Linked DNA regions of Lepisosteus oculatus. The protein of the gene in region 1 purifies or fractionates together with the protein of each later gene. This does not show direct contact. Links are inferred from orthologs where the notes say so. Each region holds a gene or a part of one and is shown in the gene's direction. Other genes may lie near its edges.

Region 1 (11,130 bases):
GCTTGCCCATAAGGCTCTGCATGGCCTGACACCTCAGTACCCATCTGAATCTGTCAGACTTAATATCATCCTGCTCCATACCTTGCAACCTTGGCTCTTCTAATTTCATTCCCCAAAGCCTGTCTAAACACTATGGATGACCGGGCCTTTTCCTGCCACACCCCAAAGCTCTGGAATTCTATCCCTAAGGATATGAGAGAGTCACCTTCCCTGGAATCAAGACTCTAAACCTTCTTCCTTAGAAGGGCTTTTATTAAAGTGGTTCTGTATCTTCCCCATTGCTTTCCTACTGTATCCCAAACCCTTGCTGTAATCATATAAAATCTGTTGTCTTCTCTCAGTGTGTAGTTTATTTCTTACTGTAAAGTGCATTGAGAAGCCAGTTTTAAAGATGCTATATAAAATAAAGTTGATCAATATTAGTGATTTAATAATTAATATAATAAAATAACAGTACCTGGTAGCAGTAATTTCACAGTAATGTGTAGGACATCAACAGTTAACCACCTATTTAGTCATATATTACAATAAGAGATACTGTTGTTGAAGTATGGTGATGTGACAATGGCAGCTCTATGTTTCTTGAACACTCATTCATCTTAACAAGTGCCAGTTAGGATTTCTAGGGAATTAACTTGAATAAAAACACAGGCTTGTGAATACTTAGTACCACAACTCTGTAGAAGTCTAGGGAGTGTACATTAAGCTTTGAAGAAACATCACTGTCAAATAGAGAACTACAAGCTGTTTTGAAGGCTTCCAAGCAAGTCCCTACTCATGCAGTGTAGAAAAAAAAAAGCCCTCATGTGTGGAAAAATATTGTGGGAGGCCTTGAAAGACAACTGTACCACAGCGTGAGTGAACTGCGAGATATGGAGAAAGTAGAATGATTTGGAATTCACTGGACAAATAGAAGGAATGAGCAGACATTGATACCAAGCAGGTGATGTCTTGTTGTGTGTGCAAACAACATCTCTGCAACATGTTCAATTTTAGTGTGATGAAATCTGCCAGGTTTCGGTTCAATTAGTGCAGTGCTTCACAAGACAATAGTAACCTGGATTTTCCAAATAAAATCGCATTTAAAGGAATTAATGCAGGAACACCATTTTGTAATATGTACAGTATATACAGTAGTATTGTTATGAAAATGTTAGCTACCAAAATTGGAGTTTATTGTCCAAACATGAAAAAAGAGTAGTTAAGAGGCAAGATTGCACCCATCATTTAGTAGTCCCTATTTATCTGGAATAAATAATCACATCAGATCAGCTTGGGAGGTGCAAATCAGAAGCAGTTTGCTTGTTCACGATATCAGCCAAGATTCAACAAAATGATGGAAATGAGGACGATCTGGTGGTGTCTCGGCCTAACAAGATCTGACCACGTCCTCAATGACGATGTCCACCGACGCATGGGAGTGGCACCGATAACGGAGAAGATGCGAGAAGGAAGACTGCGATGGTGTGGACATGTGATGAGAAGTGGGGAGCACACGGTGGCACGGACTGCGATGCGACTGAGCCCGCGAGGTCGGCCCAAGAAGGGGTGGGTGGATCGGATCACTGAAGACATGCGGGAAGTGAACGTCGCCTCGGGGCACACTATGACCGCGCCAAATGGAGACGGGCGTGCCGACAAGCGGACCCTGCCGATGTGGGATTAATGCTAGGATGAAGAAGGTGCAGCAGTTTCCAAGACGGAGGCAAACTGAGTTATTAGAAGAAAATGGCAGGTGGCCATCCTGTTTCTTGCAGAATTATGAGTGTGTCAGAATGATGCAAAATTGATTTTAACTACAATGCTACTTACTAAGATTTTGATAGATTTAGATTATTTTGTTGTGCTAGAGTGAAGATGGCTGGTTATCTTTTAACCCTAGGTCCCTACCTTGTTACCACAAAGGAGGTGCTGTCCAGGTTGTCTATAGTTCTGAATCGAATGCATAAAATGCCAGAATTCTTCCATGATTATCTTTGTCTAGGCATGGAGTTCAAACTTAGTGGCTGCTTTGTACTTGTTGCAGAATCCTTGTGGTGATACTGTTCATTGTTTACAGGAGTGAGTCTTGATTTAGAGACAGCTACTGTAAGTGAAACATATTCTAGGATGTATTGATATGTGATCATGTGTAATCAAGAACTTCACCATTAAAAATAAGGTATTCAAGAGTTTGTGTGGTAGTAAAAGCACTATACTGCAGGAAGAGGTATACTTGCATAAAGTGATCTTCCCCCTCACAGCACCCCGCAGAGTTTCCCAATAGTCTTTACTTTGGACAATTGCCTGGATAGAGGAAATATTTCATCCTGTGTCATTCACCTGAGCTGAGGCTTCAGTTCAACTCAAGAGACACGTGATGAAGGGAGCTCCAATTAAAAATCTAATCTTGCTATCTAACAAAAATTGAAAACTTGCAAACATTTGGAACCTTTCAATTTCATTTCAAAGTTTCATTTGGCTAAGGGCATGCAACAAAAGTGCAACAACATGTAATTTATATTAAATGACAACTTTCTGTCTGAGAGCTTTATACTTTCGAAGTCTGAGGGCTGTGGGTGGAGGAGTCAGGGTTAAGGTAGACTTTGGAGCACATCTGTAATTTCTGCAGTCAGAGATTCATTAAAAGAGCTGCATAAAATGTTTTTGTTATCATTATTACTTGAGTTAAAGAAGAAGAACCTTCACTTATTTTTAAGTGGTTTTAAAAGTTTTAATGTTCATATAGAGAACGATACTTATGCAAAACACCTCTTTTAAACAATACCTTAAGAAAAAGAATAGACACTGCAGAAGACATTTTATTACTATATATTTAAAAATATATATTTTCAATTAAACCTGAGTGACGCATGTGTGTTGTATCCCTTTTCTAAGAATTCTAGAAAATGATTTGCCCTCATTCATGAATTCAACAAATTTGTATCCTCTTTTATTTGCACGGTAGCAATCTAAACAGTATATTCAAGGTTAATCTATTATGTCAACATGAAGACTGATAGCCTTGTGCCAGATCAGTTCAAAATGTATTTTTTTCTCTTTTTTGGTTATTATTTAATAGATGTTCATTCAGGACATTCAAATGGCAATGAGTTCTTCAGTTCTTTTACGCCACTGGCAGCTTATGTCAATGATTATAAGATAAGACCATTATCACTCTAAGATCCAAAAGTCATGTAAAATTGATTTTCTTCTGATATGGGTTACACATTAACTCTCATGTGATTTAACTAAAATAATGATGTGCCTGGTAAAATAGATCCAGCCTGGATTTAAGGACCCACAATCTGAATTTGTTAGTATATACCTGTATATATTTAATTGCTGCCAATGTAGGCGTACTCATCAGAAAACAGGAAATAGCTGTGCAGTGTTATAGAAGATGTGGATAAGCAGTGGCAGACCAGTTTATCTGTGTATATATATGAGCACTGTAGCCAAATCTTAGTATTTATTATCATTATTACTTTACTTAACAAGATCCATCCATTCATTTTCTAACTGCTTCATGCGATTCGGGGGGGGGCAAGGGAACTGAAGCCTATCCCAGCAAGCAATGGGCACAAAGCAGGGTACTCCATGGAAGGGGTGCCAGTCTATCCCAAGGCACAGACAGACACAACCAAATACCCTACCAAACTGGAGCACCTGGAGGAAACCAACACTAATGCAGAGAGAACATAGAAACTCCATGTTGACAGCATCCCAGGAATTGAACCCCAGCACTCTGAGGCAGCAACGCCAATCACTGCATCACCTACTGATTCTACAAATTCTAATTTACATAGACAACTAACTGGCTAGGCAGGGTACACTACTGTGATGGTAAAAAGAACAATAAAAGACAGCAAAAGAAGAAAAAGATGACATTCCTTTTGCTGTCATATTGTTTATTGGGATAGTGCCTTCATCCACCTTTAAGAACATAGAGAATATATTTAAGACTTTACTTTGCCTAAACACACCCTACAATAGTTTCAGGTGTTAAAACAGGTATGAACTGCTTACTTATGGGACTACCGCTAAAACATAATTACTATGAAAATGATAGCGTCTTAATTTAAGAGATCCTTTTGCATTGTTTTGCACTACCTATTCATGCACAAATAATAGATGCATCTGAATTTGTTTTGGGCACAGACAGCATAAAGGAAAAATAACATTCTTGGGCACTGCCTAGAGAACTATATTATTCATAGGTGTGGTCCATCCAGTCCACACTTGTGAAAATGGTTTAGCTCTGGTATGACTCATGATTCCTGAGGACAAAAGCTGAAACGTGTCAGGCCAGTTCTTGCTGTGGGACAGAAAGTTTCTCACAAGGTATGTATGACTCTGGTACATCACTACATCACTAAAGCAGCAGGAAATCTGGAAAAAGTGTCAATTCAGACAGCCTCAGGGGTTGACATTACTGACATGTCAACCCAAATTATCCCATTGGGTCACATTATGGGGGGTCCACCCCTACCCACATCTCATGCAAAGCTACATAAGGCTCTGCTATGAGTTTTTTGCAGATGATGTACAGTATAAAGTAAACTTGCATCACGGCAAATACGTGGACAGACAAATATTTGAATAGAAGGTCAAATTTGTAGAAAGACCAGAAAATATGTGGAACTCCTGTTCACCGTGTACAGACAAGAGCCCCACATTAAGTCATCATTTGCAAAAGTAACATTTTACTTTTTTCAATTTAGGTCAATTTTTTAATTTGGTCAATTTAGTCATTTGTTTTCATGTTCAAGCACATGCAGTATATAGACATGATACGTTTTTACACATTTTAGTGAAGTTGGTTAACATTAGCAGTAATGTAATAATAATCAGAGATCATATTAGTAAAGACTATCTGATTATTATTAACTGATCAATTATTAATGATCAGTGAAAAGCCCTTCAAGATAACATCAGAAGTTACACTCATATCCTCACCTATCAATTGCACCACTGAATGAGGACAAGCAATTGCTTTGCCCATCATGTTCAGGAAGTACTTGAGCTCAGTGTGAACTGAGTTCAAATTCATTCAATTCCTCTTGAGCAGAATCATCCATTACATTACAACAGTTTGTGCAACCTGAGGTTTCTATGACAGCAATAGTTAGGTCTTCAGGTCAATAACACATTTAGGATCAGTAGCTGTGCCATTTAAAAAATTCCTTCAGGCACAGGTGTTTCGTTAATCATTCATTCTACATTCTCTGAAAGTTAATCATTTTTGTACATTCCTCAACTTAAACTTTAAACTAAAAAAGAAAAAAAAACTCGATATTGCTCTTAAATTTATTATAATTATAAAACCAGAAAAAATATTATATTAATCCTGCCTGTTTCAGCATTTCTTTTTGTTTCCTCTAATGTTTAAAACCCATCAAACACAGAAAGGACATTTTTTAAATTAATCAGCTGTGATAAACGGCGTTCATAAAGGCTGAAGATTCATAAACATGAAGTGTTCAGATACATAACATGCAGTGCAAGAGTTTGACTAATATATTTCATGTGAATACATATTTCTTTTAGTCTGTCAATGAAGAACATTCCTTTTCTCTTCTTTGTCTTTGAGCACATTTTGGTCACAAGGTGACAAACTGACAGTATTGTAAATGCCATCTTAATTCTGCAACTTCAAATTGTAATATCCATTGATTTAGAAGTGATGCCTTTTTGCTTACATTTTATTTGCTTTTTTCATTGTTTTCCTACATTCCTATACTGTCTGTCTCGAAGATGAAAATGCTGTCAGGATGAACTGGTAAGGTTTTCTAAGGTCGCCTGTTCAAGCTCAGCATTTCCCATTTTATAGTTAGTTTATAGTAATAGTTTTTATGTTTATGTTTTTGCTACCTGCATGAAACTCTCGGCACATATCTAAATAAGATATAATCTGTTAGCTGTTTTCGCTAGTCTTTCCTCTAAATCTTTATGAATTTAGTTCGCAGACTGCGTGCTCGTCACTTCTGTATCATATGCGTGTGCGACTAGTTTGCTAACTGTAACAGAATATAGATCATAAATATAAATCACAAAGAACAGCGGCTGTGTCCTATAAAAAACCGTATCCTATTAAACACTGTTCCATTATTGACATTTCTTATTCGCGTTAATTAGTATTGCTAGTAACGACAGCAAGAGTTAAGCATGCAACATGACGTTATAACTACCAAGTATTAGTTGGAAAAGAAATTAAGATAAAATACAAAATCCTTGACTAATATAGCATTCAATATTCGGAATGGAGGGAGAAACAATTATATGTTAAAAATCCCTTTTATGACTGTTTTAAAAAGTAATTATTCCAGTATTAAGAAGATAATTAAATGATTTTGTGACACGTCTGCCACCTGCAGGACATTAGAAGTATTACCGTAAAACTCCTTTTTATCGGCCAAACTTTTAAACTTCCATGCGTTCTTTGAGTGCGTCCCTTTAAACGGAACCTACCACTTGTTTAAATAAATTATATACATCCAGAAACCGATATGTGAGCTACACATAAAATCATTGTGCATTGTACTTAATTGTATTAATATTTTAAAGTAAAAAATGAGAACCCGCACGTCAATGAAAACGCTGTAAATCAAAACAAATACTCCAGAAGGTATAATTCTCCACGTGAATGAATAGATTCGTCCATAAAAATGGCAGCGACCATGAAGAAGTCTGTTGTAAGTAATTCTTAACAGGTTTTAGATTTTATTAATCTTTTTGTCGGTCTTGCTGGGTAGGCATGTATTATGTGTAATCTGGAAATTAAAGCTGGTAAAGCAGTTCTATTAGCGTGTGCACTAATTAAGTCCATCTTCGTTATAGACTGTTATGGGTGTGGTGGTTAATATCGGTGAGCTTTTGATCTGTTGTTGGTTTCAGACAGTAATATATAGTTATATATTGCATTCCATAAAGCTCTTTAGTAATTTATTATTAAGAATACAATCCTAAACGCCGTTAGTAAACGACAGCTGCATTTCACATAAGCAAGAGACGAAAATGGGTGGTATTAAGTAAAAATAATACGCAAACGCTTTAAATGGAATGAATGAGGTTTAAATTTCTGAAGTTGCAAGTACAATCTCTATATCGTTGGATAATTATCTTTGAAACTATTCTTATTATTAACAAAAATAATTTGAGCACGCAGTATGTGACCATTGGATTTTTGTAAATGACTACAGCTGAGGACCAGGTCTGAGAGTCAGTACCCGGGGATTTTTCAAGAAATTACCGAATGAGATACTCTGATCAGTACAGGGTAGCTACTACAAGCACCAACGAGCTAAGTGGGCCCACTTGCTTTCTTTTCTTTACATTTTTTCATATCTTTATAGGCAGTAGAAGACGTGAACGTCACCTTTGAAGACCAACAGAAGATTAACAAATTTGCTAGAAACACAAACCGGATGACTGAACTCAAAGAAGAAATAGAAGCAAAGAAGGTATATTTATAATTGGCAAGTGCACATTAGCGCATTTAATTGAAGGCTATTAAAACTATCTGAGCTTGGAAGAAAACTATTCTAAAATACCAGTAGCAATCACAAACAACAACAACAACAAAAAAAGGTTTGCCTTGTTGTTGGGCAGATCTCCTCAGTTATGTATTCCATGATGACGTTTGCCTCTCTTCTTCAGAAATCTCTTCAGAACTTGGAGGACGCCAGTGATGACATCATGATGTTTGATGATGACACCTTACTAATTCCGTATCAGATTGGTGATGTCTTCATTAGCCACACCCAGGAGGAAACACAGGATATGTTAGATACTGGGAAGGTAGGCCTAGCTTTGTGAAGTTCATTCTAATCCATGGTTAGTAAACAGCTGTAAGAGTCTTACTGCTCTAGGGTCCTGGGTTGGTTTCTGGACTGAGGTGAATTCTCTGTTCTTGCTCTGTTTGATGGATGGATGGATGGAGTAAAAAGCAAACTGTTGTCTCATATAATTTTACAGATTCCATAAGTTACATTACTGAAAGCACATTTTATTGCTTATCTTCTGCAGAGGGTGTGTTTTGTAGAGCAGCGTGGCGGTTTTTATCTTTCCTGTAACAGTCTTCTTTCTGAAGAGCTCAATAACACTGATCGCTTTGTTCCTTTTTAACGAGTTCTCACTTCTGAGTAAGTCTTACCCTGTGATCAGTTAACAGTCAGCTGGAAAAAGCTGTCGTAATGCTCATCAATATAGTATGTTTGATCTGCTCTCTTAAAACATGACCCTTCAGAATCAGTTCTCAACTTTATTTGTACTGAAATGCTATGAAAAGAAACCTAAAACAGCTGTAGACTCACCTAATTATCTTAATAGATGCAAAAAAATGGAATGTGAAAATTTGAATTGTTTCACAGCAGTAAATGAAGTTATTAAGGAAAAATAACACATAATTTTTAATTTAACATATAGTAAATAAACACAAAGGTGATATTTTCAGAGTTTCCTGCAAGGAATGTGTGAGATTTTCTGCTGAAATCTTGCAGGTGCATACTATTTGCATTGATGGTTTCTTTTAATTTTTGTACAAAAACACATTGGTTAATTAATGAAGTTGTGAGTCTCTATAGCAGTTTCTAAATTTTATGTTACTTTGTTTTTTTTAATCAACTTTGACTTGATGTAAATACTTGAGGTCTGAGAATTGTGAGATTCTGTACCATTGCAGCTACTGGCAGATAAATGATCTTGCGGTGTATCATTATGAAACAGTATCTCAGTATGGATTCTTGTGTATATTATGTCTGCATTTTTTGGCCAGACGGTCCGTCTGGTCTGTATACAATAATAGAGAATAGTATTACTCCAGAAATTATGTCGAGCCAAGATCCCAGATTCCTCTTTGCTTATTTAACCATGTTTCAGTGTACAGTTTCAAGCTTACTTGTAACTTTTATGTGACTATGAAATATACCTTATCAGAAGTTTTCAGCTGTCCATTGATATTTTGTACCATCAATTGACACCCTATTCATATCAATTTCTACCTCCTATACTTAAGCTGTTGAAGCTTTCCAAGTTTGGGGATAGCTGAACTGACATCAAGATTGTTAAAATTAATGCATATTCATACTGGTATGAATGATCATTTACTTTAATAGAAGAAAACTATTTAGTAGTGTGGTTTCCTACACTTACTTTAACAGAATAAGAAACCATAAAATATAAATTATTTTCCTTTGCCACTCTCAAAATATAAGTTTGAAAATTAAACTCTGATGTACTCTAACCTGAGGAAAGCTGGAAATGTGAAAGTAGTTTTCCCACAAACAACTCCGACAAGACAACTCTGACTTAGAAATAAATGTAGATTACTTTTGTATATTGTATAAATTACCTATTGTTGTTATATACTGTTGTACCTGTGAGGAACTCTGTGTGTGTTGGCTGTGAAGGACCAGGTTAATTTCACGATGGAAAAACTAGAAAAGAGAAACCAAACATTTTGGCTGAAGAGTCAGGTATTTGTAGATACTTTATATACTTTGTACTGTGTACTATATACTATAAAGTATATACAGTATTTTTGTATGTTGATTCAGTATGAAGTGCAAAATTAAGGATTATTTATTTCCACAAAGAAAATCAAGTATTTTCTGTAAAGGGTGTGTTTTCTTGCTCCACAAGTCTTTAACTGGAATGGTAGATGGGCTCTGCTTGTTTACTTAGTAACAATGGTGTTCATATTTTCATCCTTAGGAACTGCTTAAAGAAGAAATCAAAGCATTGGAGGGCCGGGTAGCATCAATTCAGCAAATACTGTCTGATCTCAAAGTTCAACTCTACGCCAAGTTTGGAAATAACATAAACCTGGAAGCTGACGACAGCTGAAGCCCCTGTTCTGTGCTTGAGAGAGATGAACTTTTCATGCAGATAACACATCAAAATCCCCAGAATTCCTATGACACAGAGAGTTTATAGAACTTTTTTTTAATGGTCCTCTTCAAAATGCATACGTAGATGTTTTCTTTTTTCTAGAAAATAACATTTGCTTATTTATTGTTTTTGCATGAAAACAGGAGAAATCACAGAGTGGTAGAGCTTACAGCATTCGTTGACAGTGTATTTGTTTGCAAAACACACAATCTCAATAAAAGCCAATGTATAGTGATGTGTTTTTTGGATTTTAGCATATTTTCACTGTCTCTGCTTTCATCGTGGCCATCAAATAGAATAATAAAAGCCCAGGTTCAAAGAAAGTTTACCATAAAAGACCAGTTAAATTCCATAAAGTCCGTAATCTTAGTAGAAAAACCCTTTGTAGCGTTTTCAGTAGCTGAGAATCTGAATTGAAACTACAAAGGAACTGTATTTCATTCAAATTATGATGATTATGGTGTTTTCAAAAACTTGGTAAAATACTAAATAAAGTAACATTAACATTAAATTCAAAGAAAAAAGAATTGCAGGATGAACTATTGGAGAGACAAGCCTTACATGTATTTTGTTGGAAAATTTTACACAGAGGTAAAAAGGGTAATGTGAGAAGGCAGGAAAGGTATAAACAATGACGGTCTAAGGTAAATTGTAATGTTTTTCTAAGGGCTATATTTACAATCTTATTCTATGAATACATTTTTGTGAGACAACATTTCTGAGAGAGCAGTAACAAAAGTGTGAATTTTTCAGCGTTGGGCGAATGGTACTGTAAATGTAATTGAGGTTTTGTGAGTCATTAATCTTAATGGATTTAGCTCTTTCGTATGTTTAACATGCCTGCACATAAAACCCACAAGTAAAATAACAAATGGATTGAAAACCCATGTAAAACCAGCCCCCCTTTGACAAGGATAATTCCAGCAGCTGTGCAATATACTTGGTGAACCATGGTAATACAAATATTTGTATACACTTTCCTTTGTTTAACAGTCATAGATGCATCAATGCTTCATGTAGGAGATTTAAGGCAAAAGTTTCAGTGTTGCCTTCAAAGTGGATTTGTCTTCTTTTTTCAGAAGAAGTAGACCTGTTGGGTCAGACCCATAGGGAAAGTGACCTTGTGTTCTAATTAGCTGCAAAGTGGTGATCACTTTTCTCCTACATTTTGATAGTCCTTCTAGCTGAGTATGTGTAATTTCTGGATGTGGCAGCAACTGACAAAAGTCCCGTATTGCAAAATGTACCAAATGGATCAAC
Region 2 (10,830 bases), on another chromosome or scaffold:
GTCTGCCGTCACTGTGCTGAAAGACCGACAGGAGAGCCAGCCAAAGGGACATGTCGTCCTTATCCTGGACAAGGTACTGGCACCCTGGGAATACTGCTATAGATTGGAAGAGTTCTGGATCTTGTACCGAAAGCCTTTTGTCTGCAGAGGTCTGTGACCACACACCTGTTTCTCTTTCTGATCTTGTTTTGACTTCTGTTCTTGTTGTATAAACCCCAGTGTTGGGGACTCAAGCTGCTGATCACTCCATTGCATGGAGTTCTACTTTGGCATTTTGGACATGTATTGCTATAAATGTGGGGACAGAATCTAAAGATGATATACACATGCCATTGCAATGTAGACATCCCGAATAAAATGCGAGTCTGTGGGAAGACAATGTGTGCCCTCATCTTTGCTGTGTGCTGGTATGTGCAGCACCTGCAGAAGCTCCCCTGGGAGAGTGTGCCCTGTCTGAGAGCCCGCGCTGTCACCCGGCTGCCCTCTCTGCACTTCCTGCTGGGACACTGCGCCCTGAGAGAGGTGAGTGTTCCACACACACACACGCCTTGAGAGAGGTGAGCGATCCGCACGCACACACACGCCCAGCATCCTGAGAGAGGTGAGCGACACACACACACACACACACACACACACACACACACACACACACACACACACACACACACCCTTGGAGAGGTGAGGGCCTCTCTGGCAAAATCATTCAGAAGGAAAAACTTCCAAAGGGCCAGAATGAGTTACATCATTTCTTTTTTATGAAATATGGTCATAAAGAAGCAAGCATGTTGCCACTGCTCTGTCAGAGAAAACCCTTGTACTTTAAGTGGGAAGGATAATGAACAAGAAGCCCATGAGATTCTTGCAGGTCAAGTTCTTTTTCATTACAGACCAAAGCAGTTTGTCAAATTGTGTATTTTGCTGTAGTTTAGTCTTTAAAATACTTGTGTGTCTCTCGCAGATAAAAGTAAGTGCCTGTGGAATATAAACTGCTGATGAAAGAATGATCGTCTTTCTACACTAGGAATGTTGGCTTTGCGTTATCCAAATGTCTTGTGCAGTACTATTAATCAGTGTTGGATTTGCAGAGACTGATACGAGAACTTCTGGGTGCTGCATCTTTGGAGTGTTTTTTCTGCACTCACTAGCTCGCAGAGTCAGGGGAACTTTGCAGGTGGTGGCACTAGGCTTTTTTTAGCGGCCTGCTGTAGCGGCCCACACTCACTGCTTCTCTCTCCCTGCCCAGCTGGACCCACGCTCGGTTCTGAACCAGGGTGTGGACCCACGGCGCACGTTCTACGTGTTGAACCCACAGGCCAACCTGCTGGGCACCGAGGAGCGCTTCCGGGACTGGTTCACCAGGTGAGAGCCTGCCGCAGGCGCGCACACCCGCGGGCTCCAGCGCCAGCAGGCTCTGCCCATGTGACCCTGTTGGCGTGCGACCTGTTATGAATGCACAGGTCCCACTTGAGCAATTTTAGTGGCCTGCTCAATGGAGCAGGCCCATACTATACTGTGGGAAGGCCTATTAGGGCTTAATGTGTGCAGTTTTCTAGCATTTATTTAGGCTGACATTTTTCTAAAATGACTTGGAGCTGGGAGGGTGGCACAGTGTAGCTGTGGTTAGGATTGCTGCTCCATTACATTCCGGACTCCTTGTGCTATCTTCATGGAGTTTGCATGTCCCTCCCCCTGTTTGTGTGGGTTTGCTCCAGGTGCTCCAGTTTCCTCTCAGTCCAGAGACATCCTGGGAGGTTAATTGGCTTCTGGGAAAATTGGCCCGGGTGCGAGTGTGTCTGTATGCCCTGCGATGGACTGGGGTCCTGTTCAGGGTGTACTCTGCCTTGCGCCCACTGCTTTGTGGAATATGCTCTGGCTTCCCTGCGATCCTCAGTTGAAGGCAGTGGTTAGAAAATGGATGGCTGGACTTGGAGCTGGACTCCTCAGGGCGTCTTACTGGAGCAACATGTGATTCAGCTCCCTTAAAAGTATGACTGCACGACATCAGCATTCGAACCCGCCACCTTCCAGCTAAGATTAGAGCCCTGACCACTGGGCTGGATCCGATCTGTGACAGCAAGTGTAAAAACAAAAACAGCTTGTGCAAAGACAAGAAAAGGGAGATGGTGCACAGAATTGTTTAATTAGCTCTCGTTTTTTCTCACCTTGCTTTTCTCTTCTCTCCACCGGTGTGCCTCTTGCCCCGTCCCCCCTCCTGACTGGTGGCCTGGACCTTCTCTGCAGTGAGGAGGGCTGGCAGGGTGTGTGTGGCCGAGCCCCGACCCCCGAGCAGGTGCAAGAGGCCCTCTCCACCCAGGACCTCTATGTGTGAGTATCACTGGTGTGGCAGTCTGCACCCTTCTGCATTTCTGTGTGTGCTAGCAGCCAGTTCCCGAGTCTCCGTCTGTCTCTGCCTCCCCATTCTCTCTCTCTCTGTGGTGCTCTGGTATCTTCATGGAGTTTGCATGTCCTGCCCATGTTTGTATGAGTTTCCTCCATGTGCTCCAGTTTCCTCTCTCAGTCCAAAGACATGCTGGTTCTGCCGGGGCCAGTTTTCCCAGATGCCACCGAACCGGTGGCATCTGGGAAAACTGGCCCCGGTGTGAGTGTCAGGGCAGTGTACCTGCTGATCTCAGTGGCCTGGAGTTCTGTAGGTTTTAGTCCTACGTCTCAGTTAGCAGCTGAGTAAGATTTTAAGAAACAGGTTGTTTGAACCATCCAAATGATCTCTGATAGCTTAGTGGAGGCAGCAGTTCCTGCTCCACTGGGTGTGCTTCTGTGGGCTCTTTCTAACCACCTGCCTCTCCTCCGCAGTTACGCGGGACATGGGGCCGGGGCACGGTTCCTGGACGGCTCGGCGGTCCTGCGGCAGGATTTCCACGCTGTGTCCCTCCTCTTCGGCTGCAGCAGTGCTGCGCTGGCGGTCCGAGGCGAACTGGAAGGCACAGGCATCGTTCTCAACTACCTCATGGCTGGCTGGTGAGAGAGCACCGTGCTTCCGTGCTGCTGCTGTACTTAAATACTAGCAGTGGCCTGCTATTGTTGTGAACACATGGGCACGTGGGACTTGATTTCTATTCATGTCATGTCAAGAGTGGGGCAACTTAAGGGGGGCACGGCAACGCAGTGGTCAGTATCGCTGGGTCACTGAGCTCGGGCCTTGTGTTCAATTATGGACCTGGGCTGCTATCTGTGTAGAGTTGCTGTGCTACCTGTGTTTGCATGGGTTCCTCCAGGTGCTCCGGTTTACTCCCACATTCAAAGACATGCTGGTAGGTTAACTGGCTCCTGGGAAATGTGTCCTTGGTATGTGTGCGTATCCTGTGATGGACTAGTGTCCCATCCAGGGTTTATCCTGCTGTGCACCTGTTGCTTGGATTGGATTAGGCTGTTAAAAAATGGATGAATCGTATGTTAAGGAGTGGTGCTGGTTAACAGGTGGCAGCCCCTGGCATTTTTCAGCAAGATGCCACATTGGCCCATGGTAACCTTGTGTGTTTGTGATGCTGTTATAGCTTATAAGTTTGTATACCTGCTATTGCAGCATGTTGATATGGAAAGGTACCGCCACCTGTCATTTCACAGCACCTTGCTCTCAGCATTGCTCTTCTAGTCTGTCGCTGTCCAGTGGAATCTTCCCTGGTAACTTGCATCCATCAGTATCTGTACATCTCCATCCCCATCATTTAAATGTTAGTTATGAGCAATTCTTGCCATCTCTCCCAGCCCGCTGGTCCTTGGCAACCTGTGGGATGTGACGGACCGGGACATCGACCGCTTCATGAAGACCCTCCTGCAGCTGTGGCTGGGGGCCGGTCGCGGGGCGCCCCTCCTGGATCACATGACCGCATCCCGCCAGGCGCCGCGGCTGAAACACCTCATCGGCGCTGCCCCGGTGGTGTACGGTCTCCCCGTGTCTCTGCGCTGACTGCCTTTCTTGTAACTCCCCACATTCCAGCATTGTGCATCCGCTTGATCTCTCCAGGTTTTATCTGGAGCTGGGGGTGGGGTCCTTGAGTGCAATAACCGCAGCTGCATTTTGAAATTTATTATCTCCACGTCTGTCTAAGCATGTTCTGAAAATGGGTTGGAAACTGCCATTAATTATTCATTTGCTTTTATGAGATAATATAGCTTGTTAAACTTGCAGCGGAACTAATTGGCTGTGCAGTGGGATTTATATTTGTTTCCCTGTATTTAGAAATGCCAGACTATGCAGGAGCTGGGATAAACTCCCAGGGTTTTACAACGGTCTCCAAGTGAAGGAAAGTGTTGTCGACAAGACAAAGTTATGGATCTCTCACTATCCTGAGACTGTTCATGCAAACCCATTGGCCTTTATTCAAGCAAGCCAAAAAGAGCCAAATCCAGTGCATTTATTTATATTTACAAGTGTGTGCTCGGATATCCCCTGACATTTAGGCCAGTATATGTTTATGGTTTTTGCTTTTATTTTTTAACTACCATTTTGTGTATATGTATTTTAAGGTTGTGAACAATGTATGCATTCCTTTTTAAAGTATGTAATAAAGAAAATATTTGCAATGGTTTGGTCTCCTTTTGAAAAAGTTCTGTTAAGTGTATAGTTTTACTAAACTGCCATACAGAAGTTTAAACTGGTCTCCATCTTTATGCCTTGGTTGGCCCCACCCCTGTCCTATAGTGCTGTTATCCTGGAGGTCTAACAGGTCACTCTTAAATCAATGCAGGAGCATGTGTATTTTTTTATTTTTACAGTTGCAGTCTGTTGATTTTCTTTTAACTGATCTCTATTAGGGCAGTGTGGTGGTGGGGTTTTTAGCAGTGTTGCCTCACAGCGCTGGGGCCCCGAGTTCAATTCCTGGGGAGCAGTCTGTGTGGAGTTTGCATGGTCTCCCCAGGTTCACACAGGTTTCCTCCCAGAGTCCAAAGACATGCTGGCAGGTGAATTGGCTTCTGGGAAAACTGACCCTGGTGTGAGTGCATGTGACTACCCTGCAGTGGACTGGAGTCCCAACCAGGGTGTGTCCCACCATGCACCTGTGCCTTGCCAGGATAGGCTCTGGCTCCCCTGTGACTGTGAATTGGATGAAGTGATTAGAAAATTGATGGTTTTACTATCTCCAGCTTTATTTGTGACCTAAATCAACACTGATGTTTGTGGAAGCCTTATCTCAATGCCTTATACAGGATAATTGCAATGAGCCAACTTCACATGCTGGCAGCACTTGCAGAAAAATAGAAAATTGTAGTCAGGTTTGTCCACATTGTTCTGGGACCAAACTGACAAGCTCCTTTACACAAAGGGCTATGGAAATGTGGGACAAGCTACGCATTCATGTCGTTGCAACTGAAACCTTGGCTTTTTTTTTCAAGAAACAACTGGATGAGATGCGCAAATCGCTAGCATGCAAACCGGCTCCGCCGAATGAACTGGCCTCTAGTTTGTAGCCTTCCTGAGGTTTCACATTTATTACCGAGACGAGACAGACAAAGCGCACCGCCTGTTACTAAGCAACATCAAGTTCCTGTCTCTGCCGGAAGTCGGCGCGGCCGCTGGGATTGCTTTTGCTTCTAATATGGCGGTGAATCTTGCAGAGCTGACATTACCTCAGCTGGAGGGTCTGAAGGGCCAGTTGGAGCAGGTGAGGACCGATTTAGGCTAGATTTAGAGTGGGAGATGAAGAGACATCTCACGTTTGAACAGTACCCTCCAAAATGCGCAAGACGAATTAAAGGCGTAGCCAGCCCGTGAGCTAATCTGGGTTATAGACAGCACGGGGCTGGCGTGCTCTCTTAGCTGGGTGTGTTGAGCGTGTGTTTAATAGAAAATAAATGAGTACTACCACCGTGAAGCTTTCGCTTTACAAACAGCAGCAGACTTTAAAATTATTTTCTTTCATAACATATCCGGAATAACGTAATTAAATAAGTGATCGTTCTCTATAAATACCCTCACATTGAAAACCGGTAGAGTGGCGTGGCTGTTTCCAAATCTTTTCTTTTAAATCGTATTAAGAGGTGTGCAATTCGCGGACGATTCGTTCTGATTCGTTTATTTGATTCACGAAGTCATTCAATTTAGAGAGACAAATCGAGCATCGAGCCAACTAAGGAAATGATGTCTCTCGGATTTTAGTGAGTATGGGAGGAACATCGAAACTCGGGTGAACATAAAGCAACAGTGAACATAAAGCAATAGCACATTGTGAAACATAAAATTACCCTCTTATTAATGAAGTGTATGAGGTTTGTGATAGTGCGCGAAGAATATACTTTGCTGCATATTTCAGATGGTTACATTAATTCGATTTTTTAAAAAAATTCAGCCTATAATAATAACATTAGATGTACATACTAGGAGATACATAATTATACCAGTTTTATTTATTTTTTTGTTAATGTATATTTTAAAGTAATCCGAAATCAACAGTGACTCAAATAAGACTTTCAATTCAATTTTGGCTTAAAAATGTGATTATTAGATGAATTGCCCCTACCAGTATGTCTTTTCTTTAATGCAAGACAAAGTACACTGTTTGAATTGCTGGATACAGTGTCACATAAGTTTTCCATTTGTCTTTTCAACATCCTTCCTTCCCACTCAAGGATCATTGAAGCAGCCAATATTGACTGTTGTAGAATTTTTTTTTTGAAAATTGGGAGTTTTATGGAATATTTCAAATAGCCTTATTTGGGAGGTGGGTAAGCCATCCTTTTGCGGAACAGTTCAGGTCCAGACATAGAGCTCAGAGAACAAAAAACTTGAAATTGCATGCTGGGTGCAAAACGGTAAGCATTAAGTGGTTATAAGCTTATCAATGGAGCTGTAGATGGTTGATAGGAAGTTTTAAAATATCTAAATGATTAAATCGTATTTGTTGGTAATTCGGTCTTTTCTGAGAATTGTAAAGTGAAAAGGCAGCCCTTCAAAACAATCTAAAGTAAAACTCCCAGGACCACACGTTCTTCCTTGCTGAGCCCTCTCTTGTATTGTCCACTCAGAGTAAGTGCACTCAGAGGTCTCGCAGGTGATTTGAGCACTGATGAGTCTGACTTTCAGAAAGGTACTGTTTGTCTTATACTTGTGTGATTGGGGCAGAGCGGTGGCTCTGCGGCTAAGGATCTGTGCCTGTGGCTGGAAGGTTGCCGGTTCAAATCCCGCGGCTGGCAGAGGAATCCTACTCCGTTGGGCCCCTGAGAAAGGCCCTTAACCCCAGGTGCTCCAGGGGTGCTGTATAAATGGCTGGCCCTGTGCTCTGACCCCAAGCTTCTCTCCCTGTCTGTGTGTCTCACAGAGAGAAAGCTTGGATAAGCAAAAAGACCAATTCCCAATACAAGAAATTGTATATGGCTAATAAAGTGATCTTATCTTATCTGAATACTACCTTTTTGAGGTGTCTACCAGACATTATTTCTCTCTTGTTCTTTGATGGGCTTTTCGGTCTGAGGTGAAAGGTTCCACTTTTGTGTAGCTTCTGTTTTTGGAGAATTTTTGTCTTTGTGTTTTTTTTTACAAGACGGTTCTACAGCGCTCGGATGCGATCTCTTGAGCCTTTTTTTTTTCCATTTGAACTGCACTGACGACTGGCTCTTGGTGATGTTTGCGACTCATGTTGTCTTGCTGTTTCATGCCGCAGAGCTCGCTGGATCGTTCTGAAACCTGCCGTGCTGGGTAACGGTTTTGTGGTCGTTTCGGACGATGAGCACGACGGCCGCGACCCGCAAGCGAAGCTCCATTTGGAGCCATTTCACTTCGGTCACGTGCAGCACGGCCAAGTGCGACATATGTCACAGCGAGCTGTCTTACAAAGGAGGGTCAACTACAAACCTGCTCCGCCACCTCAAAACAAAGCACCCCCTGGTGCAGCCGGGCGCAAACAGATCCCAGCTGAGGGAGGAAGCTGGAGCTTCGGCGCTTGCAGGGAGCAGCACCCGGAGCAGGGAAGACGAGCATCGGGCTTTGGTCCCCACCAGGAGCAGTGCAAGCCTGGAGCAAAGCAGCGCCAGCAGCTCTGCCGTGTCGCCCGCGAGGCAGGACCGTCTGAACGAAGCCCTTGCGAAAATGATAGTGATGGATTATCAGCCATTTTCAGTTGTCCAAGACAAGGGCTTCAGAGCTTTTATTAATCAGCTCAATCCCTCTTACGTGCTGCCAAACAGAAAAGCTCTGACCAGGACGATCATTCCCCAGCTGTATGAAAGAACCCTTTCTGAAGTGCAGGAGAAGGTAAAGGGAGCATCAGCTGTGTGTTTAACCACAGACTGCTGGACATCGGTTACACACAATGGGCACAGCTACCTTTCAGTCACCAGCCATTTCATAAACCCCGACTTCCAGATGTCTTCATGCCTTCTTGACTGCTTTGGATTCGCCGACGGGCACACAGCTGCCAACCTGAAAGATGAGCTCCTTCGGATTGCTGCGGACTGGAATATACAAGACAAGGTTGTGGCAGTTGTCAGTGATGATGATGCTGCTAATATGACCGAAGCGATAAGGCTCACTGGGTGGAATCACTTGCCTTGCTTTGCCCACACCATAGATCTTGTGGTGAGAGAAGCACTGCAAGAAATCAGACCCACTGTAGATAAGGTTAAAGTAATAGTGGAATATGTACGCAGAAGTCCTGCAGCAGCTGAAAAACTTAGGTCTCTACAGAAGCAACTGGGCATGGAGGAGCTGAAACTGAAGCAGGAGGTTGCCAGACGATGGAATTCCACTTACCGCATGCTGACTAGGTTTCACAGGGCCAGAGATGCCGTTGTTTCGATGCTGGCACTGGTCGACGCCGCCCTGCCCACTCTGACTCCGGAAGAATGGGACACCGTGGCCGAGTCGTGCGGGATTCTGAAACCTTTCGACGAAGCGGTGGCTGAAATCAGTGCGGAAAAGACGGTGTCGGCTTCGAAAGTCATCATCTTGGCCAGGGGCCTGCAGAGGATTGCCGCCACGCGGCCGAGGAACGCGGGTCTTCCCGGCCCGGTGGCGCGGATGCTCAACGCCCTCCAGGCGGCGATGTCCCGCAGGTTCGACGACATCGAGCGGCAGCCGCAGCTGGCCGAGGCGTCCCTGCTGGACCCCCGGTTTAAAAGGCGGGCGTTCACAGACGAGCGAGCGGCGGAGGAGGCCGTGAGCAGCGTCGCGGCGGCCGCGGGGAAGGTGCACGTCGCCGCCGCCGCCGCGGCTGCCCCCGCCGCTGTGGAGGCGCCAGGAGAGAGCGACCGCGAGGCGCCGGCCGCCACGCGTTCGGCGCTGTTCTGGCGCGATTTCGACGACTGCGTGTCGCACCTCCTTTCGGCACAGACCCCGTCATCGGAGGCCGCGCTGGAGGTCAAGAGCTTTCTGGAGGAGCCTCTGCTTGCCCGGACGGCAGAGCCTTTGCAGTGGTGGGCCAGCCGCCGGCCGGTGTATCAGAGGCTCTCCCGGGTCACGGCCGCGAAGCTGTGCGTCGTGACCGCGTGCGCGCCCTGCAGGCGCAGCTGGTCCAAGACCGGGCAGGTGGCCGCAGAGAGGAGGAATCACTTTAGCCCTTCCAAAGTGCGTGAAATCGTGTTCTTGAATGCCAACCTGGACTGAGGGTACTGCCCGTGACGTGTGACTCTGCCACTGTACAGACAGACAGGCCGTTGCAGGAGGTAACTCAAGTGGGATGTTGCTGTTTCGTTGGTTTTCCACCATCACTCCCTTGTTCTCGTCTTGCCTTGCCTTTGAGATGTTCGTAAATAAAAATCAACATTTTCTGTGACGCTGTTGTTATATTACCCAGTCTACTTCCATGAGAGGTCTGTTATAACTCAGTATAATAAAATTTTATTTTTACTTATGTTTTGATGCTTTTTACCTTGCAGTAGACAATTGTGTGTGGGGCGATGAAGTCAAAGCACTTGTCAAACTATGAGGGATATTTTCTCTTGGATTTTCACAATCGTCTGATCTTGTTTCTCTTCCTGTGTTCCCTTTAGCCTAGTAAATGAGTGAGCCTTATAAAGTAGTTATTTTTCTGGTATTCGGTGGCACTGTTCTTTTCAATGACTTGGGGAATCAGAGGAGCGAATCTTTTGAAGAGGTTCACTGAACTGAATCCAATGAATCGATCTGCTTAAAAGGAATCGCACTGCCCGGGTACTAATCATATTCATGTTAATCTTTCCCTTTTCAGAACCTATGCGAAGCATTTTAAAACAGTTTTAAAAGTGCAGCAGTGGGAAACATGTTTTGTGCCTGAAGTGTTCGACAGGGGTAAAGCTTCTGTGTTGCATTTCTACAGGGTCTTTATCACTGAGTGAAAGGTGAAGACATGGGAAGTGATTAGACTGGACTAATTTAGTTATCAGTTCACTTATGTCATAACAAGCTCATGTAGGACCACGTATGAGCCACAGTGAAATTGATGGGTGTAACCAAGGGGTACCTATCCTGGTCCTGGATTACAGTGATTCCTCAGGACCAGAACTGGACCGTCTCCCCCCGCCAGGACCACTACTGGACACCCTGCACACACACTGACCCCCAAGGACCAGGACTGGACACCCTGTAGAAACACTGACACCCAGGACCAGGACTGGACACCCTGCAGACACACTGACACCCAGGACCAGGACTGGACACCCTGCAGACACATTGACCCCCCCAGGACCAGGTCTGGACAGCCATGGCATGACCTGATTAAACAACCATCTTCCTTTGTATTGTGACTCAGGAGGTCGAGTTCCTGACCTCTTCCATTGGGCAGTTGAAGGTGGTCCAGACGAAGTATGTGGAGGCGAAGGACTGTCTAAATGTGCTTAATAAGGCCAATGAAGGTAAGCACCTGTCGAAGAAGAGGCAGACAGAGATACAAGCAAAAATGT

What was found. Proteins that work in one complex are often made in the same cells at the same time.
Region 2: the proteins of pfdn4 (region 1) and pfdn5 purify together in Homo sapiens (affinity purification with mass spectrometry; 5 studies listed by BioGRID and IntAct, counting the BioPlex papers as one, with this or other methods). This does not show direct contact. The link is inferred for Lepisosteus oculatus from reciprocal best matches to the Homo sapiens genes PFDN4 and PFDN5.

The regions. Positions count from the first base shown.
Region 1 is NC_090711.1:11,176,420-11,187,549, reverse strand, and holds pfdn4 (prefoldin subunit 4), read left to right. Parts: upstream 1-6,570; 5' UTR 6,571-6,647; coding exon 6,648-6,674; intron 6,675-7,334; coding exon 7,335-7,442; intron 7,443-7,638; coding exon 7,639-7,779; intron 7,780-9,693; coding exon 9,694-9,825; 3' UTR 9,826-10,105; downstream 10,106-11,130. UniProt on the Homo sapiens protein: Binds specifically to cytosolic chaperonin (c-CPN) and transfers target proteins to it. Binds to nascent polypeptide chain and promotes folding in an environment in which there are many competing pathways for nonnative proteins.
Region 2 is NC_090696.1:20,600,156-20,610,985, reverse strand, and holds the start of pfdn5 (prefoldin subunit 5), read left to right. Parts: upstream 1-5,510; 5' UTR 5,511-5,555; coding exon 5,556-5,621; intron 5,622-10,679; coding exon 10,680-10,782; intron 10,783-10,830. Other genes in the region: espl1 (separin), read left to right, coding at 1-73, 418-522, 1,244-1,359, 2,242-2,325, 2,812-2,976, 3,724-3,925. UniProt on the Homo sapiens protein: Binds specifically to cytosolic chaperonin (c-CPN) and transfers target proteins to it. Binds to nascent polypeptide chain and promotes folding in an environment in which there are many competing pathways for nonnative proteins.